Arabidopsis thaliana: one gene and its partners. The protein of the gene in region 2 interacts with the protein of the main gene of each other region in a pairwise test. Each region holds a gene or a part of one and is shown on either strand. Other genes may lie near its edges.

What was found.
Region 1: the proteins of HB-12 (region 2) and COR27 interact in a two-hybrid assay, tested with the Arabidopsis thaliana proteins (one large-scale study listed by BioGRID).
Region 3: the proteins of HB-12 (region 2) and MGDC interact in a two-hybrid assay, tested with the Arabidopsis thaliana proteins (one large-scale study listed by BioGRID).
Region 4: the proteins of HB-12 (region 2) and AT5G48430 interact in a two-hybrid assay, tested with the Arabidopsis thaliana proteins (one large-scale study listed by BioGRID).

The regions. Positions count from the first base shown.
Region 1 is NC_003076.8:17,195,873-17,203,858, forward strand, and holds COR27 (cold regulated protein 27), read right to left. Parts: upstream 3,922-7,986; 5' UTR 3,841-3,921; coding exon 3,733-3,840; intron 3,378-3,732; coding exon 3,195-3,377; intron 3,107-3,194; coding exon 2,821-3,106; intron 2,738-2,820; coding exon 2,631-2,737; intron 2,551-2,630; coding exon 2,494-2,550; 3' UTR 2,293-2,493; exon of another isoform or gene 2,047-2,292; intron 1,800-2,046; 3' UTR 1,769-1,799; downstream 1-1,768. Other genes in the region: SCP2 (sterol carrier protein 2), read right to left, coding at 1-38; AT5G42895 (ECA1 gametogenesis related family protein), read left to right, coding at 923-1,291; AT5G42905 (Polynucleotidyl transferase, ribonuclease H-like superfamily protein), read right to left, coding at 5,542-5,569, 5,703-6,451. UniProt on the Arabidopsis thaliana protein: Together with COR28, involved in central circadian clock regulation and in flowering promotion, by binding to the chromatin of clock-associated evening genes TOC1, PRR5, ELF4 and cold-responsive genes in order to repress their transcription.
Region 2 is NC_003074.8:22,911,318-22,918,471, forward strand, and holds HB-12 (homeobox 12), read right to left. Parts: upstream 4,077-7,154; 5' UTR 3,923-4,076; coding exon 3,569-3,922; intron 3,383-3,568; coding exon 3,029-3,382; 3' UTR 2,837-3,028; downstream 1-2,836. UniProt on the Arabidopsis thaliana protein: Probable transcription activator that may act as growth regulators in response to water deficit.
Region 3 is NC_003071.7:4,740,053-4,749,449, reverse strand, and holds MGDC (monogalactosyldiacylglycerol synthase type C), read right to left. Parts: upstream 6,289-9,397; 5' UTR 6,063-6,288; coding exon 5,745-6,062; intron 5,184-5,744; exon of another isoform or gene 5,128-5,183; coding exon 4,955-5,127; intron 4,860-4,954; coding exon 4,698-4,859; intron 3,877-4,697; coding exon 3,735-3,876; intron 3,644-3,734; coding exon 3,419-3,643; intron 3,335-3,418; coding exon 3,272-3,334; coding exon of another isoform or gene 3,236-3,271; exon of another isoform or gene 3,232-3,235; coding exon of another isoform or gene 3,226-3,231; exon of another isoform or gene 3,206-3,225; coding exon 3,131-3,205; intron 3,057-3,130; coding exon 2,817-3,056; 3' UTR 2,640-2,816; downstream 1-2,639. UniProt on the Arabidopsis thaliana protein: Involved in the synthesis of monogalactosyldiacylglycerol, the major structural component of photosynthetic membranes and in the chloroplast envelope biogenesis.
Region 4 is NC_003076.8:19,624,982-19,632,373, forward strand, and holds AT5G48430 (Eukaryotic aspartyl protease family protein), read right to left. Parts: upstream 4,187-7,392; 5' UTR 4,132-4,186; coding exon 2,911-4,131; 3' UTR 2,653-2,910; downstream 1-2,652. Other genes in the region: AT5G48420 (uncharacterized protein), read right to left, coding at 1,381-1,809; AT5G48440 (FAD-dependent oxidoreductase family protein), read right to left, coding at 4,951-5,049, 5,129-5,217, 5,314-5,472, 5,591-5,762, 5,996-6,161, 6,406-6,476, 6,565-6,779, 7,061-7,210 and 1 more.

The DNA of each region.
Region 1 (7,986 bases), on a different chromosome or scaffold from region 2:
TCCATGATTGCATCGGATTTGAGTTGGGTATTCGCCATTTTTTTATTGCGCAGTGTAGTGAAATCTCGGAGAAGAAAGGTGAAAGATTGGATTTTTAAGGATGGAGTTAGGTAATAGAGACAAAGGAGGTGACGTGATCGATAAGTATGGAAAGATTGAGATTTTTGTTAGAGACTGGCACGCTTCCCTATTTGCTTATTCTTACCTCATGATTACTGTTTTTCTATCTGTTTCTATTTTGGGGAGATTTAGCAGACTAATTATGTTGACCAGAAACCAAACAACAGTAATTTTTTTTTTCATCTTCTGCAAATTGCGATTTTGTCCTAATATTTGTTAGTTCCCCTAATTATAAAACCAACTTTTTCAATGAAGATTGAATAACTATGTATGTATTGTATTTAAAAAGCAAATGTTACTTATCTAGTTATTTGGTGTGATTTGCTTTGACATCAATTAGAAAGCTTTGGGACAGTACTTAAAAGGACTAGTAAAAAAAAACGAAGAAGAAAAGATTAGTTTCAGGAGGATTGTTGTTCTGTTTGTTCGTTCTCGCAGGTTTGTGTTTGATTTCATGCTTTTGGGCTTTTGGCCGTATGGGCCTTTTGCCTTGTAATGTTGTATTTTTAGTGGAAAAGGTGTTTGCGTTCATTGATTTATTATGTGAAACCGATTATACTTTTATTTCCTAAATGTTGTAGTTTTATGGAGTTTCAGCTCTATTTGAATTTATAAAACGACTAATTAAAGACCTAATTAAAACATTTCTGAGACGTTAAACTAAGATAATTCAGATCACAATTTCACATTTCATTTCTTATAAATAAGCAAAGATTTAATTGTTGTTTATCAATAAAAACAAACAGAACATGCATTAAGCATATATTTGGTTATACTAAGGTTTTTTATTCAATTTCTCGTTATGTCTATCAAAAATGTGCTTTCACTTCTTGCGGTTTTATGCATCATTGTTTCTGTAAATGCTCAATTGCCACAGATTCCTGGTCCGTTTCCTTTTCCATTTCCGTTCCAACCGATTCCTGGTATGCCAGGATTACTTGACATAACAAAATGTTTGTCATCCGTGATGGATATTCCCAGATGCATTACAGAAATTTCTCAATCTATTTTCATTGGAAAATTCGGTAATTTAGGTCCGGCTTGTTGCAAAGCATTTTTGGATGCTGAAGCCAATTGTATGCCCAAAATTCCATTCATTCCGCTTTTTCCTCCAATGCTAAAGGAACAATGTTCAAGAATTGCTGGTGCAACTCCTCCGACACCAAAATAGAGCTTTAATATATTTTAAAAATATTTGTTTTTTTCTTTTTAATTTATTTTTTAAACTTTTAGCTTACTTTACATGTTATACTCAAAAAAAAAAAAAAACATGATGATACATTAATAAAAGAGTCATATTTGTATTCAAAATTTACTCATTCTTTAAATCTGATGAATAACAATTTGAAACATTGAGTCCATACTTAATTTAGCCTTGCAATGTTCAGAACTTAAAATTGTTTTCATAAATCTTTTAAATATGTCGTAACACAAAATCTATGAACGATTATTAAATTGACTAGTTAATGTCCGATAAATAGGAGGTGTGAAAAATAAATAAATTTTCTTTTTCTGATACTTAGATTCTAAATAATAATCTATATATTTTAAAAAATCAAATTTCAATTTTATACATTCGAAACCAAATTTTTACTTATGTTTTGAATATATTAACTTTTTTGGTAAAATTACTTTAATAGTTTACTATATTAAAATAAAAATTTGAATATATAAACAACCTATATATTTTATTTTTCCGATATGGTTAAAAAATGTTTTCTATTTTTGGTGTTAAATATAACAAACCCAACTTTGTATAATAATAAGAAAAAAATATAACTTTATCATCAAAGTCAACCCACTAACATAGTGGGCTGATTCAACTTAATGGCCCAAAGCACTCTTCTCCCTCACTCTCGCGATCGACTCTTCTGAGACACCTTCTTCTTCTCTTCTTCTCTTTTTTTTTTTTTTTTTTTTTTTGATCCTCTTCACTTTCTTTTCTCATTCCTAGATTCTTCTTCGAAATTAATCAAGGTTTGATTCCAACACATACACAACCCTTAGCCAATTAGCTTTATCCAAACAACACCGTTTGTATAATAACCGGCTCAATTATTTTTTATTATCTTTTACCTTTATTCGACCACCATTTTTATTGTATGGGCAACATAAAAGAAAATTAAGGAACTTGAAATTTTATACTATAGTGGTAACAAGACAACACTAAACCATCAAATACTAATTTGACGTCTTTCTAAGGGTTTTACAGTACAAATGAATCCACTCACATGAGCATATAAATATATTTATAGTTAGGGATATATGATGAAGAAACTTGTAACTAAGGATAGTAAATTTGACTTATAAGTTATGCAAATATATATACATTACAAAATTCTCTCCTCATATAAAGCTTCACCATCTGACCTCTCAAGAAACAGACTTCAAATTTACGTCATGTTGCAAGAGTTTATTGAGTGGAACAACCTATGCCAAGGAAACATTTTGGATCAATAACTCACCACATTCACTAATATGATCAAACTAATAGTGGAGGAAGAAGTTACCTGATCGGTACTCGACGATTCACTCATCATCACCGTCTTCATCTTCTTCGAGCTTCCGTTTTCGCCTTTTATTCCTTCGTTAACAAAGTTCTGATCCGATACCTCTGCTTTAAAACATCACAAGACAAATTTAGAATAGAAACAACATATCTAAACAGAGGAAAGAAACACATTTTTGATAAACTAATACCTTCTCCAACGCTGATTTGGTCGTGGTCACGCGAATGAGAGCTTAGCTGCTTGAGACTAGAGGCTGAGCCAGAGCTGCATATTCCCTTCTTCCCATTAGAGCTGCTAACAACTTGATTTTCGGGCTCATCCGTTACCGGGATTTGTGTCTTTACTAAAGGTTTATAATGCTTAATCCATGGACTCCTAAGAAACTCATGAGAATTACCACCGTGCCTTCCGTTAATCCGATGTTCAGGTTGTTTCACATTAATCTTCTGCCAGAAACCATCATGAAGAACCTTGAACTGATACCATAAACATACATTTCAATGATCCCAAAATCTTCTTAACACTATAACATCATCATCATCTATTAAAAAAAAAGTGTCATACCTGTTCTTGAGACGGTTTTCTACCGCTACCGAACCTCGTTGATTCGGATACATTCTCGTTCTTCCCGAGAGCTCCGAGCGAGTTATATAACTGATCTACGAATGAAGCTTCCATAGATTTAAGATATAAACTATGCTTCTCATTAGTCCATTCTGTTTCCATATACTCTTTCCCCGCAGAGTACTACACCAAAGTTCACAAAAATGATTTTGTTACAAAGTTGTCATTACACAGCTCAGAATCCTTATGTAGATATCAAATCTATAAACATCTAATTATCTCTTCAATCGCAAAGAAGCAACCAAATTCATCAACAAGACAAATATCGAACAATTTATGTTCATTAGTGTAAATAAACTCTTTCGTTTACTTCACAATAATCAACAATAAACGCACTAATTCCATCAAAAACGTTAAATCGCCGTAAAAATTCAGATCTGAGCAGCGAACACGACGGAGATTCCGATTCCGGCGAGGAAAAACAGACATGCAAAAATATCAATGAAAAAGAAAGAAAACATGGAATATGTATAAATACCATGGAAGAAGTGGTCTCTCCCTCCACGGAAGAAGCATCGTCGGAAGAATCGTCAGAGTCATCGGAGAAACGACGGCTACTAAAGCGTCCTCTGTAATCACCAACCATTGTTGGCTTATCTTTGTGGAGAGAGAGAGAGAAGAAGAAGAAAATGAAAAATATCAGAGAGAAAGAGAGAAACAAAATATCAAAAGAAACGATACAGTTGTAGACGCTTTTACACGTGGGTAAAGTTGCCACGTCATCACCAGTCAATTTGGCGGAATGAAGAGATGAAACTTTTTGGTTTTAGATATTTCAAACACAAAAAATATCAAAGATATTTTCTTCAACTGCAAAATATCTTCCACCGTCCTCTTCTCCTCTCTCTTGATTATTCTTTCTTTTTTTCTTTTTTGTTGCTTTTGGTTTAACTTCTCTGACTTTTTTTTTTTGTTTATGATATTTTCTCTTTTTAATCAATGGAAAGTAGACAACTCATTCTTAGATATTTATAAATAATTTTATAGATTGCCTTTTTTAAGACGGCATTTTAGGATTATTTATTGGGACGATTCACTTTTCTTATTAGAATAATTGTACCACATGCAATGAGGATTAACGATGATTATGAAAATAGAAATAAATTGACTATTACATGTCTCTTTTGGAAGAGTGTTTTTTTTTTCCCGAGACATTTTTTGTTTTATGAACTGATTTATATGATTTTATTTTTATCATTTAGCTAGTTAGGGTGGAATTAATATGTGATTATTTCATGTATTATGTGAATTTCTAATTTATCAAATTATTCTTCTTTTCATCATATGTAAATATATTATTTATAGTGTTATATTATATTTACCATGTCAAAATATTCATTCACGTGAATATTAAATAATGAGATTGTAAACGTAAAGTTTAATAAACTTTTGCGCTAAATTCTACCTAAAAATAAATTTTGAATACTTATAAATAGGTATATTCAATTTTTCTGTTTAAGAGAAATGGTAAAATATTAAAGTGGAGACATAATCTTAGGGAATTGAAAAGTAAAAAAAAAGCTTACAGTTTAGTTTTAAGATAGATCTATGATTTTCAAGAAAGGTTATACAAATGATCAGTTTGGATCAATATACTCTACCATGTAAGATTCTATGAATTATAAATTACCCATTTAACCATTTTAACTTATCCAAATAATAAAAAATACTTAAATACTCAGTAATCTTAAGAAACAGGAAAACTCCTTCAATTTTAGTTTAAGATAGATATACATCTTTTCAAGAAAGGTTACACCAATGATGAGTTTGAATAAAAATAATTTACTCTACCTTGTAAGAGAAGGGTGAGTAATTATGTGAATATACAAATTAATAAATTGTAAATATGTCTTCTATCGTAGTGCTTATTGATTGTTGTAACTCTTTGCAAAATATTTATTTAAGACTTTTAATTATATGAAATAATTTAAATTTTAGAAAATTGTATTTCTTTTTTATAAATTTTTATCTATACATTTTCAGTTAAGGTTTTGTTTTTCTCCTTAAGTTTTACTTTTGCTCTAATTTTCCTATCACAACTCTTCGTTATAGATGGTTGTGTACAAATTACAATTAAGTATTTTAAGAATGCGTATCTTTATCTTAACTCTTCTTAAATAAATTTTTATTTTATAATATTTTAAAAATTGTATATATTTATTATTAATTTTTTGTTCGATATTTTTTTTATAAAATTATGTCCAGTCTTTTTTTGGTAAGTGACCGGGAGACAATTGCCTCCCGTGATTTATTAAGAAACTAAAGAAAAGTTACAAACGAACTCGCCTTAGTTGAGTAGACCCAAGAGTATCCTCCTTCAACAAAGATGACATCGCATCGGGAACAAAATCAAAAGAATGAAAGCCTAAAGATAACAAAATTGTATAGTTTGCTAATCCGTCCGCAAGACAATTAGCTTCTCTATACACGTAAACAATTCGGACCAACCAGTCTTTCTGTAGAAAGTTGTGGCACAACCGCACCAGGAATGACAGCGGATGAGAGTCACTAATCCCTGTTTTGAGGAAACCCACTATCGCCTCTGAATCCACCTCCAACTCCACTCGAGGCACCTTCTTCTCCCATGCGAAATACAATCCGTAATACACTCCCCATAGCTCTGCATGTTGAGCTGAGCATCGGCCTATATTTAGAGAAAAGCCACCACACCAAGCTCCTTCACAATCCCGTAGTACTCCGCCTGCAGAAGCCAGCCCCGGATTTCCACGAGACGCCCCATCTGTGTTTACTTTCACCCAACCCACACATGGAAGCACCCAACCAATCAGCCGTTCAACTCTAGGTTGCGTACTTCCAACCAAAGCGTTACCCAAATGTGCTCTATACACTTCCACAACCCACTCTTTAACAAATTTCACACGGTCCCTGCATTTCGTGTTCTCCCCAAATATATTACTGCATCTCCACTTCCACCCCCACCATATTATCACCGCAAAAATGGTGGACCACGGTATATCCTCACAGCTACTCCTATCACACAAGTTATCATAGAGCCATTCAAACAGAGATTTCGAAAAGAACCCCTGCTGCCTCCTTCGCGGCACAAATCTGACCCAAATCCCCAATTGAGCTGGACAGTCTCTAAACACGTGAAGCACAGATTCAACTCCACCTATATAAACCTGAGACACATTCGAGGCGCTAAGATGTCTTCGATGCCGTTCCTCATCTGTCATAACTATGTCCAGTTTGGTTATATATACTTTCTGTTTATACTTATATTTATATATATTTTTCCTAAATATAACTATTACTTTTGATTATTTGTTAAACATGTCCATGGATTTAACTCAATCTCAATAAATGCTTCTTAGTCTTGTGTCTCTTTATCATAATTTGTTGTTGAATAAATTTTTTATTTACCATTGTAAAAAAAAAACTGAAAATTTGCGTAAAATCATTGTAACTCTTCTTTTCTTTTCTTTTTGACTTTTTGTCAAACGTTTTCTTAATCATTATAACTCTTCATTCGATATGTTTTCAATTAGGATCACATCTTTCACTATGATGTTGTTCTACTGCTAATATAGTCTCGTTAAATGCTTTTGAGGGTTACGTCCATTTACCATATTCTTCGTAAATGTATCTTATATTAGTTATGGTTAAAAACATATTTTCAAGGTTGTCTCAATCTATTAGAGTCATGTCTCTGTGTCATAAACTTTGATTTCACCTTTAGCAGATAATTTTAATCTTATGTTTTTATATTTTTTCATAGTATTTTATAATATACATCATTTTGAGTTCAAATTCTTTAGTAAATTTTATAAAAATTTAAAATATTTTATCGTGCAACACCACCTATAAAAAACCTATAGTCCACCCTTTTTATCTTCTTTTCCTTAGTTATTGTATCATTAACAAAAACTCCAAAAAAAAAAACAAGAAAATATGTAAACCAAAAGCCAAACATCAGTTAAAGTTACAAATTAAAGCCATTCATGGTCTAAATTTCTAAAAAGAGAACCACCCGCTAACCTATTATCAAGTCAAAAGGATAGTTTTCCATGAATTCATTTGTGTGGTGCGATTTTGATTCAGTAGATTAATTACCATGAAATACATCATATCAATTTACTAATTTTATAAATATTATCTTTGGATAGTTACCGACGTTCAAATCTACATAATGCAATAATGCATGTTGTTTACAACAGCATTGTGTAATTTTTATTAATAATCTAATCATTTTAAAATTTTATTATTTAATTAAATTAATTTAAATATAAATAAATACTTATGAAAAATATCTATACAAAAATGTAAAAAAATATATTTAAAATTATCAACTCATCTAGATCTTTCTTATATTTAAAAAGTTAACTTTCAATTACTAGATAGATACACTAAGTGAGAAAGGTAAAATAAATTATTTGCTCCTTATATAGTGTTTTTTATTTATACAAATTGTTGTTTTATTAGATCCCTTTTATTCTAGATTTTTCTTACTTCATTTGGATAATGTGCTTAACTCAGCTTAGATTTATTATTTTATTTTATTTTGGGTTAATTGCCATACATTAGTTTTCTTATATATTCAATTACTCTTTTGGTTCACTGAAACTTATGAGAAACTTTTAATCCAAAAAAAAAAAAAACTTATGAGAAACAAAATGAATATTTTTCTTGATCATTTCTCTCTCCCTCTGTTTTAAAATTTCTCCTTTCCTCTGTTTTGCATGATTTTTAACCTCAAAAGCTCTTACATTTC
Region 2 (7,154 bases):
AAATGTTGGATAATTTTCGATTATACAAATGATCATATAATCCAAATTTATTTGGCAAGTAAAAGTTTATAATAATTCAAACAAAATAGATATAGTATTTTAGACGGAGTAATGAAAACTAGTCAATAAAAGAGAATATGTGTTAATAAGGTGAGGACCGAAGACTAAGAATGAGCTGAATTGTGTCAACACAAACACAAATTCTGATTGCAACTTCCCACCTAATAACAATGATTCATAATTAGAAAAAATTGAGAGAACATGCTTTTAGATAAAATCACGAGCCAGTTTTGGTAATTCCATATAATTAATTACCATCAACAAGAATGGAAATATGTATATGGAAAAAATTAAATTGTAAGCGAATGTTTTGTCATTATCTAAAAACGAGAGAACATTATTGCAATTAGGACCATTAATTTGTCTGAAATTTGTCATTTGATGAGTATGATAAGTCAATTTATTAGGGGGACACATCTATATATATACTACTAGTCTACTAGAACTTAACGTTACATGATAAATGTGTGTTCGTTGCCCTATTAGAAGGGGCAAATTATTGTAACATGTTGTTAAATGTTTTTCTGTTTACAAAGCTATTTGCAAGTGTGTATGCCACCATATTCAATCATCAAACATAGGTTAAGGTAGATTACAAAACTACCACTATATATCTAGGACTTAAAAAAGAGTATTAATCATAGATATCATAACTCATAATCGATTGACACACGAGATAGCTTAAACGATGCAGAATAAGCAAATATTGTATTTCAATTGGGGTTGGTGGGTGAGCTATATAGTTATCAAATATGTATAACGTTCCATTTTTACAAAAGCTGACTAAATCTACGAGCAAATTGCACGGATTCCTTAATCCGTTGTTGATATGATTACATAATCATATGATTAGATTAGATATTAAACTATTAAACAATAAACCATGCCATTCAAAGGGTAAATAACTTTATATTATTTTACTTCGTATGGTATTGGTACCTCAGTGGACCGTCGTAGCTAGGTACACAGCATCCTTGTACTTTAGAAAGTTGGCTAAACTTTTGCATAGATTAATGCCAATTGATTTGCTCAATATGTGTGGGAATATTAATCTTAGATATATCGAATAATCTGTTGATTTGGTTTTAGTTTGCGGATCAAAAGACCCTATTTATTATAGATTTAGTGTGCATGTATTCCATTAAGATTTAAGACCATACTTATTTTTATCCAATCATTTAAATAAAAGTGCAATTTGAGCTGGTTTATTAGAACATAGTTATATTTGAATTCGAGTATAATTACCTGGCTAGTTATGTATTAATGTTCATGAGAAGTATGACTAATGATCTCATAAATAGTTTCTAGCTCTGAATAACTTTTATATTACTCTAAAGCATATAGGGTTAAATTTATATCAAAGACAAGTTTTAAACTAATTCACTGATATAAGTCACACCAAAAAATTCAGACAATTGGAATCTATATATGTCACACTTCAAATTTCACTAGTTTTAGACACGACCACCAGTGATGACATAGTCTGATATGCTTAATTACAATAATATATATTTTGCTATTTATTACCAAGTCATATATATTCGAGGGTCTAAAAATCAAATAAAGCAAACAACATGTCGAATCGTGGAGTTGAATCGGAAACTTTTGACAGTCTCTGTCACTAGAAAAAGCAAAAAATAGAATAACACAAAAGAATCTTGAACTTTGGAATTTATCACAGCAGGGAAATAACCAATCAATCGACATCCGTGTTAAACAAAACAAATTTTATATATATATGCGTGCATGTAATATTTTTCTTTTTTGATTACCAAAGTAGGTTAAATTCCTCACCAGCGATATTTGTGTGATTTCTATTTGTACAAAACAAATATATTCTCACTCAGTAAAGCTTTATCTCTTTTGAGAGTAAAAGATCTTGTCAGGTCAAAATGTGTATGTATAGAAATTTAACAGTGGTTTTTCATATTTTATTCACTGAAAGTATCCAATATCTAGATATTGTTCTTGGTCCAAGATTTGGATTTGTTTCGAAGATAAAAAGTAAAATGGAAGTGATATGCAAACCCTGTTGGGTAACTCTTTCTAAGTTGGGTTTAGTTTGATGAATAAGAGTTTTAAAGCCCATCGTGATAAGGCCCATATTGTCCGACCCATTTCGAAGGGTTTGCTTTATACAGGAGCGGGACTTTAAAAAAGGAAACATATGAAAGAGACGTTGAAAACTTCAATTCCCAAAATACCCCCATATTATACAGAACAGAACCATAAGAGAAACATTGGTTTGCTTTGATTTCTCAAGGAAGAAGGGATGATCCAGGGGCTACCGTTGCTACAAGATTAAGGACACTATAAAGACTTGACTTAGAGCCATTCTTTTACATTCTGTTGAGAGTCTGGTTACAAAGCACATGTCCCACATGACATCAATCATAGGAAGATTATCATGACTCGATTGTTCCTTATAAACTGGAAAGACAAACACCAAAAGGAACTAGTTCTGCATCTACAAGAAGTTGTTCCATATCTGCCAATCCAGCTACAAATATCTCATAGGAAGGGAGTGACAGAGTAACCTGAGCTGATGAACCGGAATGTGATCAAAACTGATATTTGGTGATAAAATTCATAGACAATTCATCTCGAGGATATTGAAAGCATTATAGCAGAGCACCAATATAGAGATAAATGCACTTAGTTTCAAATTTAGGTCAATTTTTAGTCCGTTTCGAGATCATTATGGACGAAGACTCTTGTACTTGTGATCATTACGCTTGGTCCAACACTCTTAGAGCCAACTTGCAATCACAAATTTAACCTTGGTGACTTCAAAACTTTTCTAGTCTCATTATAAGCTACTAATTAGCTACAAAGAGTATTGAACATAGTAGATACATAGATCGAAACAAGATTTAAACTAAACTAAATTTATTTTTCTTAACACATAATTTACAAACTATTCACACTCTTTCTCTTCGCTTATGTTCTGTTTTTTTCTTATATGCTTTTATGACCAAAACTCCCACCAGTTAGGGTAATTGCTGCTAGATTGGTCTAAGAGAGAATCAGAATTGAAACCTCCCCAATTCTCAGAAGATGTCAAGCAACTATCATCAGCTTTCTCCACAATGTTCATCAGCTCATGATCAGTCTCTTCCTCGAACCCAAAATACTCTGTTTTAATGTTGTTGTTGTAATCACCATCATTACATAGAACACTCCCTTGGTCTAACCTCCCTTCTGGCTCACTCTTTCCATTATGCGACTCTGTGCTGCTGCTTAGAGCCAGTCCTTGATCACCACAACACTCATGATGCTTTTCTTCTTTAGGCCTTTGCATCTCTTCGTTTAGTCTCTGCAGCTGCAAATAGAGATTGATTAATATCAAATTAGGCAAAATGATCGAGAATTTACATCCCCCAAAAACCAATAAATGCCAAGACTGTATTTGCTATTTTATACTTTATAAAAAAAAAAGATCATTATCAATTATTGTTTCTATCACTGTTCAATTAAAGATAAAGATATCGATAGAATCATTATGTACCTCAGAGACCAGAGATTGCTTTTCTTTCTTCATGATTTCAAATTGTGAAGCCAAATTGTTGTAATTGGCTCTAAGAGTGTTATACTCTTTCTCAAGTTGCTTAGTTTTCCATCGAGCCCTCTTGTTTTGAAACCATATAGCCACTTGTCTTGGTTGCAGCCCTAGCTCTCTAGCTACCTGAACCTTCTTCCTCGGCTCAAGCCTCGTCTCAGACTCAAATATAAGCTCAAGTGACTTGATCTGTTCCTCGCTAAACCTCTTTTGGTTATTGCTCTTCTTCATCTTCTTCTTATTCATGGTCATGCCACTACTAATCTCGCTGAAACAGCAGTTGAAAAAATCTCCTTCTTCCATGGTTTTCACCAGATCTTGTAAGTTTCTTGATTTTGATTAAGAGAGAAGGTTTTGGAATTATTTGTTTCTTTTTTTTCTTTCTTTCTGGAATCTCTGAGTTGCTGATATTGGCCGCTTATATATAATGTGGGAGTTACTATGTGTGCTTGTGTAGGGCCTCGGATTTCTATTATTTTTTATATTTGGAAATTTCATTATTCAACCAAGACAAAATAAACTCATTGAATAAAAAGACCTGCAAATATTGTGGAACCACGGGCTAAAAATATACGTCCAAAATTTGTGGCTCGACACGAATTGGCTCATGTCTCTTTCAGTTTAAGTCGTATTTCATTTAGATGTGAACTAATCATCTAACTACTGATAATATTTTCATACTTTTTTTCCTTTATAATATAAGTATTATCAGCTTTTATATGTTTCATGGAAGTGATCAAGTGAATGATAACGTGGGTTGACAATCAAACGGGCGAACTGGCTTTGGTTACATCAATTAATCACCATACATATTTTACTTTTTAACAGTTTGGCCGTTCCTAAGAAAAATGAAGCAGTTTATAATGAAACAAAAAAAAAAACTCGATTATTTTGCTTTTCTTGCATATAAAAGGCATTTTTGAAAATAGAATTTAGCAGCAGCCTAGATGATCGTTGTACTATGTTTTAACATGCAACAACGTATATCATCATTTAACATGTGACTGCCAAGGCCTTGCGATACTTTTATTAGTCAAGATAATATTGATAGATAATCATTACGAAAGAGAGAGAAAGACGGATCGTATTAAGCAATAATTTTATTCGATTGTGTAACGAGATTCCACGTTCACATATCAGGATGTTTGACGGGTGTTAATTAGTGTGTTATAATTAAGATTAAAATAATCTCCATTTTCATTTGAGATTTCATTTGTCGTTACTCGCACGCCATACTTTAGAGGTCGGTTACGTGAAACACGTTTTAACGAGACTTTTCATTAGTGTATTATATACTATGTTCTAAAATAAACCTACTCTTGATTTATCTCGCTAAATTCCAAAAGAAGATTAATCATGGTTAAAATTGTGGCCGCATGTGGTAAGCTGGCAAATAATTTTGCAACTCTTCAATTCATTGCCCAAGAAAAATAAAAAATAAAAAATAAATTAAGATATATTTGCATATCACATACCGTACTATAGTTTACGCGATGTTTTACGCGTTTAATTTCGTTACACGGAAACAATAAGATGATCACGAGTAAGGATTATAGATTTATTGACTTCCATGCAAATGTTTAAAGTTTTAAACTCAATTATGAGATTTCTTGACTTTCTTGTAACTAAACAAGTAATCTGACCTAATTACTATCCTCTTGGTTTCCTTTTCAACATGCCGTTTTAGTTTTCTTCTAAAAAGTATACACAATCCAGAAAAGAAATATAAACCAGTGGTGTTCCTATTATTTATTTGACCTTTTTCCATTTTTCTAAAACCAATAGTACTAAATATAATATGAAATCTAAAAAGATTATTATACCTCTATTAATAAGCTAACTATTATGGATAGAAGTATCTTGTCTAAAATATATGCATTAAACATACAAAATAACAGTTTACATAAACAGAAATAAATTAAAATTCTACAACAATTACTTATTAGAAAACGAAGTCAGTGTAGTATGTTTTTTTTTAGACACGAAGTTAATATGTTTATTCTTACAAAATTACACAAGTTCCGTTCCGTCTTAGGCTCTGAAACACTAATTATCTTAACCATGGGATTTTGAAAGTTTGTAATTTTAAGCAACAATATTAATGATAAACGCAACTTATATAATTAATGTTCTAATGATTAGTTTAAGGTTACGTTCACCTTGCTTCTCGGAAATCTCTTTTGACTTATTAAATACAAACAACAAATTAAATTCGGCCATTTGTGAACTATGGCGGCTTCATCGATCCAACGTCACTTTAGCCTTAAGCCATTAAAATTAAAAAAATTATAAATAATCTATTACTTTGCTTTAAAACCAGAAAATTACTTCATGAAAAAAAATATTTGAATAGAATGACTTACATCGACTTATTTCAACAAGGAAATGGACGAAAGTTTTGGTATACAATGTAATGAATCAGATCTGTAGACATTTCAGACAAGTAGCAATCAAAGTTGTCAAGATCAACCACTGACTCATTGCCATTTGGCACCATTAAGAAAGCCAAGTTGATGAGAAGATGACGTGGTGATTGCTTTGTGGCTGTGTATGAAAATTGCGTCCGACAAATGTTATCACGTGTCGAGGTTAGCTTAAATGTAGCAGTTCTTGATAAGATGCGTAAGAGAAGATGATTCTTTACTTCTATTTTTTCTTTCATTTGTCTAAGAGAAATCTGGTTCTGTTTAATGATAAAGATTAAACTAGTAATATGGTTTTGAGAAATAAAACTTAAGAAATCAAATTTCGTCCTCTTTAATTAGATTTACATCTTGGCTATGATTTCTAATACTTACTAAACGTAGTTTTGGCTCATTTAATTTGGATAAATTTAACAGAACATATACATAAGACTATAGAGCCTTTTAAAGTCATATTTGTTTAATTATTATTTTTAAGGCGCCTTGTCATTTCATGTTTGTATTTTGCATATTCTTCCAACCTCTTGGCCTTGCCGCGTGTAAAGCTTTTGAAATATTCACAGATTTATAAATATGCACATTCTTCGTAAAGCTTAAATTTCAGTTAATGTATATGAAAATACATACAGGTAATGTTTAGGCTGTTAATTATGATGATCTACTGGCTAAAATAGCACAAACTGTCATTCGAAAATGATACTAAAACCTCGATTTTGTGAAAATAAATAAGTGATCATTAAGCTTACCATAAATACCATGTATAAATAAATACATCTGAAAAACGATGAAATGAAAAGAAATTTTTTTGATGAAATGAATATGATCCAACTTATTCAAGACAAGTAGGGTCCATGATAAGATGCCAATCCAATGAGGAAGAGACATTTATTTTACCACCGTCCTAAAACACAAACTATATGTGATGATAATAACCTTTACAGAAATTATATCAAAAATGAAAAGAACTTATAAAAAGAACTTTTGATGAATTCACTCATTAGTTTATTGATGTTGTTATTTGCAAACTATATAGAGTATACTTTAAGATTAAACTCTCTATCACGCGAAACTCTAATGGCCAACAATCTTCCGCTACTTATTTAACTACTAAT
Region 3 (9,397 bases), on a different chromosome or scaffold from region 2:
GTATATTTTAAAACTAATCATTCAATGAGATAGTTATTAAGATAAAGTGGCTATTGTAATTGAAGATGAAGTATTAATAAATTTAAAGACACTAATAATAAATAATTTATTTACTTTGATAAATTTAATAAAATAGAAATTTACATTTTGATACTTTTTATATTATTTGGTGGCATAATATTTAGAAAACTTTCCATATTTTTTTATTTTGTTTTTTTTCTTTACAAAAATCTAAAGAAAAATAGAAAATAAGAATAATTTCATAAATGTTAATTAACGAGATGGCTAATCACAATTGGTTGTTTAAAATCCTATGTGGACGGCAGAAGAAGCAAAAGGCCTCGACTTTTCTATAGTATAGATTAATATACATAATCTACGAAAACGATTGTCGTTATCTCTGAAATTTATGATCAGAGACTTTGTGGGTCTTATTGCAATAGTACACATTTAAGTAGTAAATTTTGATAAGACTACCTTCACATCATCAACCTCCAAACTTTTCAATTATAGAATGATGTACAAAGCCTTGAATAGTAGTATTTTCGATTTTGAAAACTAAAACTAAGATAAATAAATAGGAAAATATTTAGGTTTAAAAAAAAAATCTTTTCATCAAGTAAAAGAAAATTTATTCCTATGAAGTCATTTTTTCCTTTTAAAATTATTTATGTAAGATATATATGTACTAGATAAGACCCGCCTAAAAAGGCGGATGTAAGAAATAAATATAATTTTGTATCATTAATATTTGAATTCTAAATAGTAATAAATATTTTTATTAACATTTAATTTTAAAAAATTTCAAACCAAATTTCAGACTTACACATCCCATATTTTTCTATACACTTTAACTATTTATTTCATATTAATAAACTGCATTTTAATTCTACAAACTACATCTTATCGATGATTTTTGAATTCAAAATAGTATCTTGCTCTCTTTTTCATTTTTAATTTATTATTTTAATTTAAAAAAATTTCCAATCTTACACATTCCATTTGCAATACAATTTAACTATCTATTTAATCATTATAAACTGGATTTTGATTCTACGGACTTCATCTTAATGAATAAATGCTAAAAATATTATATCAAAATAGTGTTATATGATTTTGATTTACGGTTTTGGCGGAAAAACGTCGGTTTACGGTTTTGGGGAGAAAACGTCGGTTTACGGTTTTGGGGAGAAAACGTCGGTTTACGGTTTTGGGGAGAAAACGTCGATTTTCAGGTTTTGGCAAGAAAACGTAGGTTTTCCGGTTTTGACGAGAAATCGCTGGTTTACGGTTTTGGCGGGAAAACATAGGTTTACGGTTTTGGCGGGAAAACATGATTTTCAATTTTGGTGGAAAACACTTTTTGTGATTTCGGCAGGAAAACAATTTTTGTGATTTTGGCGGGAAAACAATTTTTGTGATTTTGGCGGGAAAATGTGGTTACGGTTTTGGTGGGAAAACGTCGGTTTACGGTTTCGGCGGGAAAACATGATTTTCAATTTTGGTGGAAAACACTTTTTGTGATTTTAGTATGAAAACAACTTTTGTGATTTTGGGGGAAAAACGTCGGTTTATGATTTTGACGAGAAAACGTGATTTGAATATTTAAACCAAAAAGTGAAGTTAAGTAGAATAATTTAGTTTTAATGTATTAACACATTAACATTTTTAATAAGGTTTACTAATATAAAATGAAAAAGTAAATGGACTTAATTGGGTACCCATTTATTTGTGTGAAACCCCATTTAATAAATGGGTTTAGTTGGGTTAACTCATTTAATCCTATTTAATTTTTTTCTAAATGAGTTTAAATGGGTCAATTTCTCTTACACAAACCCATTAATTAAATGAGGTTTGCATACCCATATTAACATCACTAGTTATATCATATTGTATCAGAGTTAACAAAAAGAAAAAAACATTATATCTTAGTTAATAATAAATGAGTTAACAAATTACTAAAATAAAAATCCACAAACTAACAAAAAATCTTTACCATTAGTATGACGTTAAATCAACTGTGGTCTTTTTGAAGAGTATTTTGGTTTGGTGAAAAAGTAGGAGACTACCTATTATTTTTATAGATATGAGTATTTTGAATCGTTTTTCTTTTAGGATTAATAATTGATTGTAGTTTCCATAATTATGGTATTTTATATAACAAGATTGTATAATTTCTTAAATCCTTTTTAAATTTTGTAGGAAAAAGTAATCAATTTTGATTAAGAATTAGTAGCTTCAATTAGAATTAGTAAATGATTTTTTAATTTCTATTTTTAATTTAATAAGATACATATATTTTTTTAAAACTTATCATATTTACTTCTCTAAAATGTTTTAGTTTCCTTATACTTATTTTAAAATATATAATTTCTTACAATTGTCTTTTTATAGTCTTAAACTTAATAAAAGAAAATTTTGTTTTACACGTGTTAAAATCTGAGATCGATAAAATTTGCACATAGCATAATCAATTACTAACTTTGAAAACCGTACTTTATATAATAAGTTAGTTTCCTTGTAATTATCTTCTTACATTTTGAAAACTGTTTAAATTTATAATTTACAATTATCTTTTTGTTTTTTAAATTTAATAAAACAAATTTTTTTTATTTATATATGTCAAAATCTGAGATCGATGAAGTTGACACGTGTTACAATCATATGAGTTACTAACATTGAAAACCATATTTTATATAATAAAATACATAAATAAATGTTGAAAAAGACTGATAAAAGAATGACAAACCACTAGAGAATATACATTAATAAGAATCATGAAATAAGAGAAACCTATAGTCTAAACAAACAACACTTCAATAGGAAAATTCATTAAAAAGTGGAATACGTTGTTGTTGTTGGGATAGATGATGGATATCCTTCACAATGTCGAACACGGCTTCAGGTTGCGACAACTTTAGAGCATTCTCTGACATTTTCTTTAATTCCTCTTTATTGTTGCTAAACCAATCCGCCACGATTTTCGCAGTTTCTTTGGGACTTCGGGTGAAAACTCCAGCCCCATTGTCCACAACATACGGCACGTTGCCTTTTTCCTTTGGGAGTCACATACAATAGAGTTAGTTTATGTGGCCGATTAATCCCTAAGGTGAAGCAAAAAAATGTATACCTGTCCAGGAATATAGTCATTGAGGATAATTGGGAGGCCGCAAATCAGTGCTTCCGCAATCGTACCCGGACCAGCCTGTTTTATGTCATAAAATCTTAGTGCTATTTATATGAATGGGTAGGATTCAAAGATATGACTTACCTTAGTGATGATACAATCACAAGCTCCCATCCATTTTTCCATTTGTGTTTCAAACCCTCGAACCTATAAACGTCACAAGTATATATTAGTTACTTGGTATATAAGTATATAGTAGAAGTAAAAAAAAAATTATATTTTAGTTTGTACCTTGACCGGAATCTTCCATTCATGAGATGCTAATGTAGAAGCAAGGACTTTGTTCCGGCCGCATATGACAATCAATTGTCCTATTGGATTACTTTCTTTAGAGTTGTATAAAGAATCTCCAAGGGCTAGAGCTGTTTTTTGAACCGGACCCATTCCTTCACCCCCTCCCATTAATAGAACCGCAGGTAAATTTAAGTCTATTTCAAGTTCCTTCCTTAGTTCATTCTAACAAACACACATAATAATAGCTATTGTTGATCTTCTCTTGATTGGGAAAAAAAAGATCTCTAAATGGTATGAATTGGACAGAATTTACCTTGTTGAGAATAGTGCGAGGGAAAGATGGGCGGACAGGTAAGCCAAAGACACGGATTTGAGAGTCATCAAGGCCGTCTACTAATGCTCTCTTTGCAACCTCTTTGGACGGACAATAACATCTGCTGACTCCATGATGGAACCTATTACATCAAAATCGAAGATTTCATTTTGAGCTATTAGGTTAATTTCAATGTTTTAAACCCTGACCCGGACAGTGAACCGGATTTTCTTCTGGATCACCGATTAATGGGGTTAACCGAATTAGACCACAGGTCAATTGAATAAAATTTATTGAATATATTTAATATTAATAGAGATTATATAAAATAAAACAAAAATAATTATCTTATGTTTAACAAAATATGAAATCAAACAGTAACAATCAAAGTTTTCAATTTAACTAAAAGTCTAAAAGACTAAAACCGTAACAAATATAGTAGGAGATCATTAATGACGAAAATAAATTAATAAACATTGCGAATTAAAACAACTAATCTCGGTTTCAGTCACTTTAGGCGGAATTGTGAAGACTTCACCAAAATATAAAAAAATCAAATGAGTTTAAAAAGTGAATTTTTTTTCTAAAAATAGCTGAATAGAGTCTAAAATGCTATATTTTATTCAAAAATCGAATATATTTTTTAAAACTCACACACGGCCAGTTCAACCGGTTCACTGGGTCGCGGGTTAATGGCGATTTTTTGTGGATTTTTCCGGGTTTAAAATTGTTGGCTATAGTACTAAACCTAAACCGAAAAAGTGTTTGGGTTGCTGATTAACCGTTCGAACCGAACGGTTTGGGTCGGACGTGAAAACACTGGTTAATTTTAAATATTATTGCATATAATCTATATTTTATTAAATGAAAAGTCATGAGAGTAAACATGCAGGATTAATATGCTAACGCGTGGATTAAACTGATTTTAAGTACTTAGTATATATAGAAGTAATGTCATCTTACCATGTACGGTGGCAAGTGTTTAGATCAGTGATGACCGTAACGAAAATAACTTTCTTGTGAAGTCCTTGCCATTTCATTACCCACAATGGTATGTGTTGCATCAGAGGATGCACGCTAATAATAATGTCCGGTTTGTACTCCATTAAACCGGCCTCTATTTCTCTGTTCACCAAAAGAAGAAATAATCTCCATTATATTGCTAATTCGTAACACTAAGGGATGATAACGAAAAAAGAAGAAGGTTAACATATAAGTACTTGGCATAATAAGCGGCAAGAGCACTTAGATAGCTTTTGTGGATCCATTTGGGAGAAGTACCATGAAACGCAACAGACCAAAGACCAACATGTTTCACCATGAACTTGTACTGTCTCTCCATGTCGTTCAATGGCCATCCAGTGTATTCTTTCCAAACATCTTTTATGATTATCTATAGTTATAAAAAAAATGACATTAGTTCCTAGAGAGAATATTGTAACATCAAAGAGTCAGAGCTAGAGAAATAAATAATGCAAATTTTTAATCATTATTGACAAACAAAATAAATGGAACGTGGGACAGGTTTTAAGACATAGATTGTTGACGTCAGCTCGTATCTCCGACACCCTGGCAAACTCCAAGATTCATACTAGGCTACAAAACTTCCAAGTAGATATTTGTTTCTTTTCGTTTTCAAATTCAAGACGACTACTGCGACAACTTTAATATTGACGGCTGAGATTTCATTAGAATCAGAAACTCCTCTATGATATATTATAACATAATCTATTGGAAAATTTTGTCATAATATAAATACATATTATTCGAGGTATATATTTACAAGCTTTGAAATTTTCAAAATGAATATTTCAAAATATTGTTGTTGTTTTACACAGAAACTAAAAGATAAAAGTATGATTAAGTTTTGTTGCTTATGCAATATTTTTTCGTTTTTTTGTACGTTATATATATGGTTAAGGAAGCATATTATTGGCTCAACCCTATGCGTTGGATTCAAGGCAAAGAGAATGAAAATGAAGATATAAATAAAAATATTAATATTTTTACCCGATAGTCATCTCCGAATTCGATCTTGAAAGCGTCGCGGATGGCCTCGGCTGAAGCACGGTGGCCACCGCCGGTATCACTCATGAGAATAAGAACAGTTTTGATCCTCTCTGCTCCCATCTGCTCCATCTCCATAACTTCTTCTTTGTCTTCTAACCCTCTCTTCCTTAGACGACTCTCCTTCTCATAATCACTTGATCTCTGACGATGGATATACTCATCTTCTACTGTTGAGATGTTAAAATTGCTATAGACTCGTCGAAACACCTTCTCAGTGATTGAATCCGACCGTGTACGAGGTGACACCACTTTCATCATGACTATTTGGTGTTGAAGAAAGAATAATAAGAAGACCGATGGTTGTGTTTTCTATGTGGCTGGTTGGTGATCTTTATGTAAAAGATTTTAAGTTCTTTTGGGGTTTTAAATTTTTTGTAGCAAAAAAAATGGAAGACCAAGTTGCTTCTTTTAATAATTGTTTTTAAATTACTTGAGGAATGATGCTGGAATTATTCTTTTTTTTTTTTTTCGGTTCCTATAGTTTTGCTTAGGTATTTATATTTCGTGTCTTTATTGTTTTATGTGGGGCTTAATTTAGTGGTAGAGTAACAAGGGAATATGGCAGCTTGGAGCCGTCGGATCCGCCTTTGGTTTCGGAATCTTCGGATATATGATTCGGATCTTTCTTTGCATCTCAAGTATATTTAAAACAACTTGACTTTTTAAAAATTAAAAAAAAAATATGACATGGATGGTCCTTTTTGTGACATAGGTAAACCGGTTTAGAATCAAAAATTATCTGGTTTGATTAGGTTTAAATCGATTCAGTTAAATTTGAGTCCACTTTTCATATTAATTTAATACTTGATTAATTGATTCAAGTTAGTTTCGATTTTTGTTTAGTTGTTGATATGAATGTTTGTAAACAAAAATAGGTTTCAGTTCAAATGTCTACTTTTGCATCAAATGTACTCATATGGAAAAATTGTCTATTTGTCTACGAGAATTATGACATCATTAGATATTGACCCGCGGTACACAGCGAGTTGATTATTTGCGTTAGAAAGTTAATTGTTGTTTCAATTTAATATAATCTATATATAAATAACTGAGCAATAGTTTTATTTTTTCAACTTACTTGGTATATGTATTTACTTTTATTGATATAGTAGTATGTTTTTTTTACTTGGTTATGTTTAGTTAAGATAACATGTTTATTATACTTATTAGTACATAAAATGTGTATTTTATGATGCATTAGTACGTGTTTTATTATATATTTTTCTCTTTATTACAGAACATTATTAAAATTTTAATTTATTTTAAATTTGATTTTTGGTATATTACTGTAACTATCCTAAAGAAAAGAATGTTGTTTTATATGAAATAGTTGTACATTATGTTTTAAATCTGTGGTTCAATTTTCACAATTTAATTTATTTGGTATAATATAATTTGAAAATCTCATTTTATTTTTTTAGAAGTAGTAAAATCAAGAAAACTTAATACTATATGAAAAATTTATGTGCGATAAACATAATTACAAATATAAATTTAAAAAATAAATATAGTGACATTCAAAGAAATTAAGACTAATGTGGGTATAATAAGTCTATTAACTATTGGGTATTCTAAAACAATATGAAGCGGTATCAGGACATATGATAAATTTTGTAAAATCATCGATTCAGTTCGGGCATAAAGTAGATGAAGCTATAAAGGCAGAAATAAAATCGATCTTGGGTATACATAATATCGGAGGCATGGGTTCCTATCTCGGACTACCTGAGAGTTTAGGGGGATCTAAGACAAAGATCTTTTCCGTTGTTAAAGATCGATTACAGTCGAATAAATGGGTGGTCAACTAAATTCCTATCAAAAGGAGGGAAAAAAGTGATGATTAAATCAGTAGCCGCAACATTACCAACTTATGTGATGTATTGCTTTAGGCTCCCGAAAACAATTACTTCCAAACTAACAAGTGCGGTCGCAGGATTTTGGTGGAGCTCGAATGGTGAATCTAGAGGTATACACTGGATGACTTGGAACAAACTGTGTACTAGTAAATTGGGAAGTGACTAAGGTTTTCGGGATGTAGATGATTTAAACTCTGCATTATTAGCGAAACAGTTATGGCGTCTAGTTTCGTTTCCGGACTCTCTCTTTGCCAAGGTTTTTAAACGAAGATATTTTAGGAAATCCAATCCTCTGGAAAATATAAAATCATACTCTCCGTCTTATGGCTGGAGAAGTATTTGTTCAGTTAGATCTCTGGTTTGTAAAGGACTTATTAAAAAAGTCGGTTCAGGGGCTTCCATCTCCGTTTGGGAGGATTTGTGGATCCCGGCTCAAAACCCGAGACCAGCAAAAAGTAATGGTTTGTGGATGTCGGATCTTGTGCTCGACTCGACCCGCAATTTGTGGGCTTCCAGACAAGGATTGGGCCCGGCCTTAGAGCCCAATGAAAGCCCAGTGGTTCAAAAAGTTGATACGGAATTAATTTAGTAACGGCTGGATATCGACTTGAATGATAAGCATTCAAAGGCCCGAGCTGTTGATCCGCAACGTACGAAGTTAATAGGGGCGAGGTCTGCGGCGTGAAACCAGCTAATCATTTAAGTCATTTGATTCGTTGTATTAGTATAAATAAGAGTCAATTGTCATTTGTAAAGGGGACGAAAACACCTTGTACTGAAACTATACTGAAACTATACTGAAATACACAAATCCGTTTATCATTTGATCATTGTTCGACCGACAAGACTTAAGATCCTCACAAAAACAACCACAAAATTCTAATTGCGGATTCTGGCATCCACAATTTGGCGCTAGAAGGAGGGTAAGTTAAGTCTTTAACTTCAGAGCAACGATCAATTCACCATGAGCAACACCGACGGTCAGAGTTCCGGCGACTAAACCTCCACCCTCGACGACATCAAGCAGCTGCTTCAGCAGTTGTCAGAGAAAACCGACCGGCAACAGCTCGCAGTAACGACACTCTCCGATAAGTTCGTGTTTTTCTAAGAACATTGCAATGGCCAGCTCGCAGCTTTAGCAGCAAACCATTCCGAGATCAGATCAGCGCACAATGCATACGCCGAGCGGGTTGATTCTCTTTCTGCAGGAACGGCGCGGACTACTGGAGCTCGAACGCGACTCAACTTTCAGGGTGTCGCAAGCCCAAGCGTCCAGAATTCGCAGGAAGCTTCTGGCCAGCAATCTCCTTCACCTCCAGTTGACGTCGGGGCAACGTCGACACAGAATCCAGTCATACAATCTTCACCAGCAGGCCTTGCCGCAGTCTCAGATGGGACAATAGCTCGGACGCCGGCTCCACTGGATCCCGCCATCAGACTCCCGATTTCTAATCCCCGACAAGAGCCAAACACAGTCAACTCGGAGCTCCAGAACCTTCAAGATCAAATCTGGGCAATGAACGCAAAAGTTCATCAGGCTACCACGTCGGCCCCCGAAGTGGAAAAAGTTATTGAAGCAACAAGGAGAACGCCTTTCACTTCGAGAATCTCGAAGCTTCGTATTCGCGATTTCCGAGACTTCAAACTTCCCGGTTACAACGGCAAGGGAGATCCAAAAGAATATCTAACTTCTTTCCAGGTCATCGCAGGTCGGGTCCCTCTTGAGCCACACGAAGA
Region 4 (7,392 bases), on a different chromosome or scaffold from region 2:
ATTTATGTGATACAGTCACCAAGGACGGTAATTGTTTTCGGATTTAGGTTTAATGAACGGCTTAGGATTAAACTTGAAACATCTAATGAATCTTTGAATAGATTATGTGAGAACATGCCTTGAAGAACATTTGATTTTGACCTTTCGAACGAATAACTTATATATCCAAAAAAATTACTCAATTCGTATATCCCGTAATTTCCCAATCTGAAGATTATAACCAAAATCAAGAGGCACGTATCTAAGACTAAATGTGTCATAACTCACTGAAATTGTTGTTGAAGAAGAACAGAAGATACTGATGATGATGGATAAAAAAACAAAAAGAAGATACTAATGATGGAAGTCCTTCAGTTGATGAACATAATACTGAATTATTGATGATGAAAGTCCTTCAATTAGACGTTTGGCTTTCTATCATTTAGGCCCATATATTCCGGGTATGAAGCCGGATCCTATAGCCCGTTGGTATTTGAACGGGTCAAGTACGGATCAGATACTATGACATATTGCCACGGGTTTGGCGCTTTTTAGAAAGATAAGAGATGCATTAGTCGGGACTCGGGCGGTATCTTCGGCGCTATAATTTTAATTGGGCTTTTAATGGGCCTGAATCTTTTGGGCATATTATCCATTTATGTTTGGAAGGTGCATCAACCTTTTTTGAAAGTATACATGCAGTATAGTATTCATCGCATTCTTGTTTTTTTATTTTTTTTCCCTGTTGTCTATTTGAAGTCGTTAATTTTTTTCAGTTTAACTGGTTTTTATTATGAACTACATTGAGAATTTAGAAGAAAGAGTGCTTCATGTATTAAACCAATTGATGATATATTCTAGGGAAAAAACCTCACTAACCAAAAACTTAATTAAATAAACAAACCCACTTGAAACCAATTAATATTACATATATTAAAACATTCGTCAATGTTTTTCGGTATATTGAAGAAAGGGATTAAAATCTTCAAGATTCGCATGGACTAAGGAGTGTAAATTAATGAAACGTAAATGCTGCTTCATTGATTAACTTCTGCAAAGATGTCACAAATTCATATGACACCTAAAGATTATCGTTCATACTATACAAAAGTAAATATCGATTTACAAAGATTGCAGAAACTAAACCATACAAGAACAACTGAAATCATGTACAATCTTCAATATTCTTCATGGTTGTACGTAACTACTCTTATCAAACTAACTCTTCTTCATTGATTCTTCTCTAAATATCGATTTACAAGATTCCAGAAACTAAACAATCCATGAACAACTAAATCAAATCCTCAAAAGACATCCAAATTTCAACACAGAAACTATCCAAAGTAACGCAAATCTGAAATGAGCCAAGAAACAACTTTTTACAACGATCTTTAAGTCAAATCAGCACCTGAATTTGATATCGAGTCCATGCTTGCCATGAACACACCCAGGTTTCAACTGCGAATACGAATACTTCTTCTTCTTCAACGTAACGTTTTTCCAGAATGTTCTCTTTCCCGTTTTCCTAATCCTCTGAATCTTTACCAGCTCATGATCATCATCGAGATCATCATAGTAGTCAAAGTCATCTTCTTCATCAGTATCATAACCATCGCGATTGATACCATCTTTAACAGAATAACGTGAATCTTCACAAAGAGAGACCATCCTCGAGCAAATACAACCTCCGTCGACGCGATCACCAGAAGTAACCGGAGATGAAACAGAGTACGACGAATCTTTCGTGGAAGTGACAGTATCGGAGAGAGTCTCGAAGTTGAAGGTGAGGGAAGTGAGTGACTTGAAAGTCTCGAGGTCGAGAATCGCCATTTTTTGTTTTCTTGCTTCTTTTGTGATTTTTGATTTTTCACTCACAGAGGAAGAATAAGAAGTTTGTTACAATTTATAGTTTCGAGTTCAACAACATGCAAAAATAGACAAGGAAGAGATATTGGCCGTTTTGTATCTTCTTGTTAGACATGCGTGCTGTTTGTACTACGTGAACAAAAACGTCATGTAGTTTGTAGGTAGAATCGCATAACGGAATGTAGTTTAAAGAAAGCAAAACCTTCTCATGTAGTGTTTGTTCTTCATATGCTTTGGATTGGAGAATCGGATTTATGGGTTTAACACAAGAAAATCAAATAATTCCGACTTTAGTTTACAACTTTTTTGTATTATTACACTGACATTGACATATATCGTTGTACTCAATTAGAAACTTAAAAAGTGCAAAAATGAACGATCCTTGGATTGAACATAATTTGGGATTTTTCACCACTGAAAAAAATCCATTTATAAGCCATTTAAGTTTTAAGATTAGATACGTAGCACTTTGAATGAGAGTCTTATATATTAAGATGCTTGATTTTTAATTAGGTAATTTTATCTGGTGGTTTTTCGAAAATATCTTGCCATACCAACATACTGTAATTAGAGATGTACTAGAGTTAGCTCATCCCACTTGTAGTTTTGTGAAAAAGGAGCTAACCAAGTAGCTGAGGTATTTGCTAAATCTGCAAGAAGTCACTTCACTAACTACATATCGTTTAGTAGTCATAGTAGTTTAAACTTATATAACCCCTTTAATATAATGACATGGTTTGACGAAAAATAACCAAATAAATCACTAATAGTAACAAAGGAAGTAAGAAAAAAATCATCAGCAATAATTGACATGGTTTATCAAACTTATGTAACATCTTTAATATTATATAAAGTGAAATGACTTGTCGACGCAACTTATATATTAAGGTTCATTAATAATAAGATAAAACTTTAGTGTTTTATTACATTCTTTGACATTCGTCATTGACTAAATTTTTTAAAACCACACTTGACATGAATGTTACATAACAAATGAAGCCAGAGTACTGACAAATAAATATTCAATCACAAGATAATGTCAACTATCAAGTTGTTTTGACATTCTCATGGCCGTGTTTGAAAGTCGCCGCATGAAGCGCTGACCAAACCCAAAGAAGAACTAAATCCAAAAGCAGATCTTCCAACGTCAAACTCCACCAAAGTATTTTCCATCTGATGTATTCCTATCATCACCGCCTGCGCCGCCGCATCTCCTCCGTTGACAAAAGCCAAGCAAGCCACGTCATCGCTGACCTTCTTCATCGCGTTTGCGGGAGACAATTTCCAAATCACACCATTAGCTAGCTCTAGATCGATCCTAGGCACTTGGAAATTTGTCGTCGTCGAAAGACAAAACTCAAAGGGTGTCGTGCTACTGACACGTGGAATACCCGATGTGGCTTGTGAGAATGCTTCGATAAAGACTCTGTATATGTCGCTTCGTAACATAGTGAAAGGGAATATGGTGCTTAGAGTAACGCCTCCATCACCGTTGCGGTCAAAAGCAAAAGCGTTTGGGGCAAACAAGATCCTATTCCCGTTAACGGAAATACCCTTGAGTCCCAAGAAATAGTTGTTGAGTTTTCTAGGGTTTGTAATCAATCGAGTGTAAGAGAGCATAGATCTTGCATCAATGTTTCTGAGCTTGTACGGACCTCCACCAAAGTAAATAGCACCTTTTTTCAAAGGGTTTTCATCAGAAGGAAGACACAACGCAAACTTCTTCTCGAGTCCGAGTCTAGGTCGAGTCAGCTGGTTCCAAGTGGCGAGAGCCGTAGGTGCAAGCCCCGCAAGGCCGAAAACACCGGGAGGGAAGTCTACAAGGAACGGTTGGGGGATGCATAGGTAATAAACGTTGTTGATCGTGACCGAAGGAGATATAGGTTTTAGAGAAGAGATGGATAAATCTCCATAGGTGAATTGGTCAGAGTTACATATACGTTGGAATGGCTCAAAAGCGGTTGCTTGGCAAGCACATACTCCATTGATGATTTTGTTGCTGGGAAGAGAGCATTGGTGAGGAGTGAATCTACGAGTTAGAGCACATACGGGGGAGCCACAAGGGACGATGGGACGAGGGAGACCATCGTTGCATTTACGGACAAGATAGGGACCGCCGATGTGAATGAAAAACTCTTGGTTTGTGTTGAGTGTGAAGGTGAAGATAGGCAAGATTGTGTTCTTAGAGACGGTTGATACTAAGGCTTTAGGTGGATAGTAATTAGCCGAGACGTAACTATAAGTAAAAAACAAAATGAGACAGAGGACAAGAAGACTCTTTTCCATCTTTTGCGTGTTTGTGTTTAAGATTGTTGGAAAGTTTTAAGATATGGATATAATTACTAGGAGAATTAAGAACGTATATATAGCTAATTAGAGTTGACATTTTAACATATAGACATCACACACGTTAATATGTACGAACTTGTACACACAATAATACGGTCCGACCAGAACAACTAGATATATATATTTTAAAAGATTACTATATGTATATCAAGTTGACATAGGAGGGCCAACCATTTAGGCAAAGCCAGTCCTATATGTATGTCAAGTTGATAGATAAATTTAAAAACTACTGATGGATGTAGATGGTCATAGACTCAAAAGACTTATACGTTAATAAGAAAAAGAAAAAACTTCAACTAGCATCACTACTTGTGGTTTTATATGTTTGTTGACAATTAATATTATATATATAGATATATTGAAATAAATAAATAGCAATAGTTTGAATATGGAATGTGATAATCACTGATTTGAAAGTTTTCTAGGATATGATAACCATGTGCGCATTTTTGGTCAAATTCGAATGACATATCTTTGCTAATATGCGTATAAATGGTTAAATTATTGTTTGAGAATATTTTGAATGGAACATATTTGTAATCAACCGTATTAAAAATAGATCATGCATGTCGAAAGCTAGAGAAAAAGTCTGGTTTAAAGACGTAGAATTAGAATTGGTCTTAGTATACTAAAACCGGACTAAACCAACACTAGATTTATGTAGCTCATAGACATTTCCTTTAAGACCCCGTTTATAGCAACCACAATGCTTAAGAGGATTCACTCTCTTAACTAAACCAAACTGCTTCTATTTCATCAGCAACAACGACGCCCTTTAACCCCAAACGTTGAAGTATCCACTTGTGATGGTTTTCCTAGTACCATGTCCGTTACCATTTCCGCTGTTGCTAGAGCCTAAACGATTTCAAGAAACCGTGAATCATGATTGGGTTCTTGAGAAAGGTGTTAGAGGATTAGAATGAATGTTACTTACCATGGAAAGTCCACCTCCTTCATGCCCAGCTGCTAAGTACATGTTTTGTAATCCGGGCACGGATCCTATCACTGGCTTCCCGTCAGGCACTATGATCAGTTAAAAGAAAAGTTCAGGTTTTGTGAACATTCCAAAGGCCGGCTTCAAGTACTTTTGGTTTGGAGCATTAGATGCAAGAAGCTTACTGTAAGGGCGCAACCCGACTCTCACTTTCCTGTTACGGATGAAATCTTCGAGGGAAATATCACGTAACTTAGGAAAGAATTCTGCAGCACGCTCCCATATGCAACGGATGATAAACTCATCAGCTTCAGTGTCGAACCCGACAAACTCACGGCTGCTCCCTGAAATTAGAGATGGCTAAATGAAGATAAGAGATATATTGTGTGTGACTGATAAATATGTTAAGCACACATAATAAGAAGAACATGGATTTTAGTGGACATAGATTGATGAAATTACCAAGAACAAGGTTTCCTGATGTGTCCATTGTGGCTGTCATGGAAATAGATAGCATCCGTTCATCGACATCCAATCCTGAAACTGAAGCACTTTGATGATTCGAGTAACCAGCCTCCATTATCCCATGATTTAAGTGGAATGAATCAAAGTTCTCTACCACAAGCAGATGCCCCTGCAAGGCAAAGTTGGATACTGCAATTTAAAAAAATACCAAAGCAGTCCATTTCAAGAAGCTTGCAAAGGATCTTCACGACAAATAAAGATATACTTGCTGCTCTTAAACAATAATATCCTCAAGAACTTGGCTTGCCAGAATTTTGACACCTCGTGATGACAAAGATACACTTCAATATAGAGATTTAAAACGAGGGAATATAAATTGGGCAATCAGACGAGACTTCAAACCTTTCTTGGCTTCACCGGAACGTCCAGCGGAATGTTGCAGTCTTTAAGCAATTCATGCATCAGAGATCCACTCCAGCAACCAGCAGCTACTATAGTAGCCTTCTTACCATACAAGTTGCGTTTCAAAGTCTTAACGCCAGCAACCACCTTGCTATCCCCATCAGACCTGAATAGAAATACTATTAATAAAACTCTAGTAGAAGAAAGATTAGTAGCGTCCACTGAAGATTTACATAGATTTGGATGAATTTGTTTTTGTGTTTCAGCCTCTTAATTTAAGGTAACAAAATTAGGACACAGCCATGGTTTTTAGTATACAGATATGTATGTTATATCGATGCCTAGATTGGAGAATGCATTTTTAATTTTTGGTTCAGAAAAGTTCTGATTCAGCTACAAAGATTACCAACCTTATTAAACCTGTAACTGGTTCATTATAGAACTCGGCATATCTGCCTGCTGTTGCAAACGCTCTATTACCCTGAGTAACTCAAATAAAACTAAGTAAACCACAAAAGAAAAGTGTCAGATGAGACATTCAACTATCAAATAAATACATAAAAAGCAACCTTCTCGATATAAGCAACCGCACGATGGGCGTCCAACTGTGAATCATCAGGAAGAAATGCAGCACCAGTATTATCATTTACAAGTATCGCAGGCTCCTTTAACAACAACTCAGCACTAGACAAATATTCAGTTCTTAACCCAGCTTCAGATAGCTCATGAACCTTTTGCTTCAGAGCAACACATTCCTCAGTGGTCCTACCAATGAGCAAGCTTCCTACAAGTGACAACAATACACTGAACTATATCATCTATTTTCGTTGACAAACAGAACGTAACTAATGGTGTATATATCATCTATTTTCGTTGACAACAATACACTGAACTATTATTTTTGTTGAACACGACGAAAATGACATTGCCAAAAGAACCTAACTAATAGTGTATAGAACCCAATAGACTAAAGTGAAGAAAGAATCAACACAAGATCATGATCAACAAAGTCGCTCAAAGAGCTCCAAATTCTATACAAACGTAAAGTGGGTAGTCAGTAAAAACCTGTCTTTTTCCAGCCAAGCAACTCTTCAGGATCAAGACCATCATCAGTCAAGCTCTCTGCAAGCTTGTGCCAGAGTTCATGGCTCCTCAAGGTCAAGTCCCACACATCACTGCCTGGTTTCTTGTGTGTCATCCATATATATCCCTGCCCTGAAATCCAAAAACCACAAATTTCAAGTTAAGTCAACTTCATTCACTTCAAGAGTCCAGCTTTATTTGCAGAATCCATAGGTAATGTACTAATGTCAATCGTCAGATCCAATTTGTAAGAGAAGGGTTGAGAATTACCGGCACCGGTGGCGCCGGAGCAAGGTACGGCTTTATCGACAACA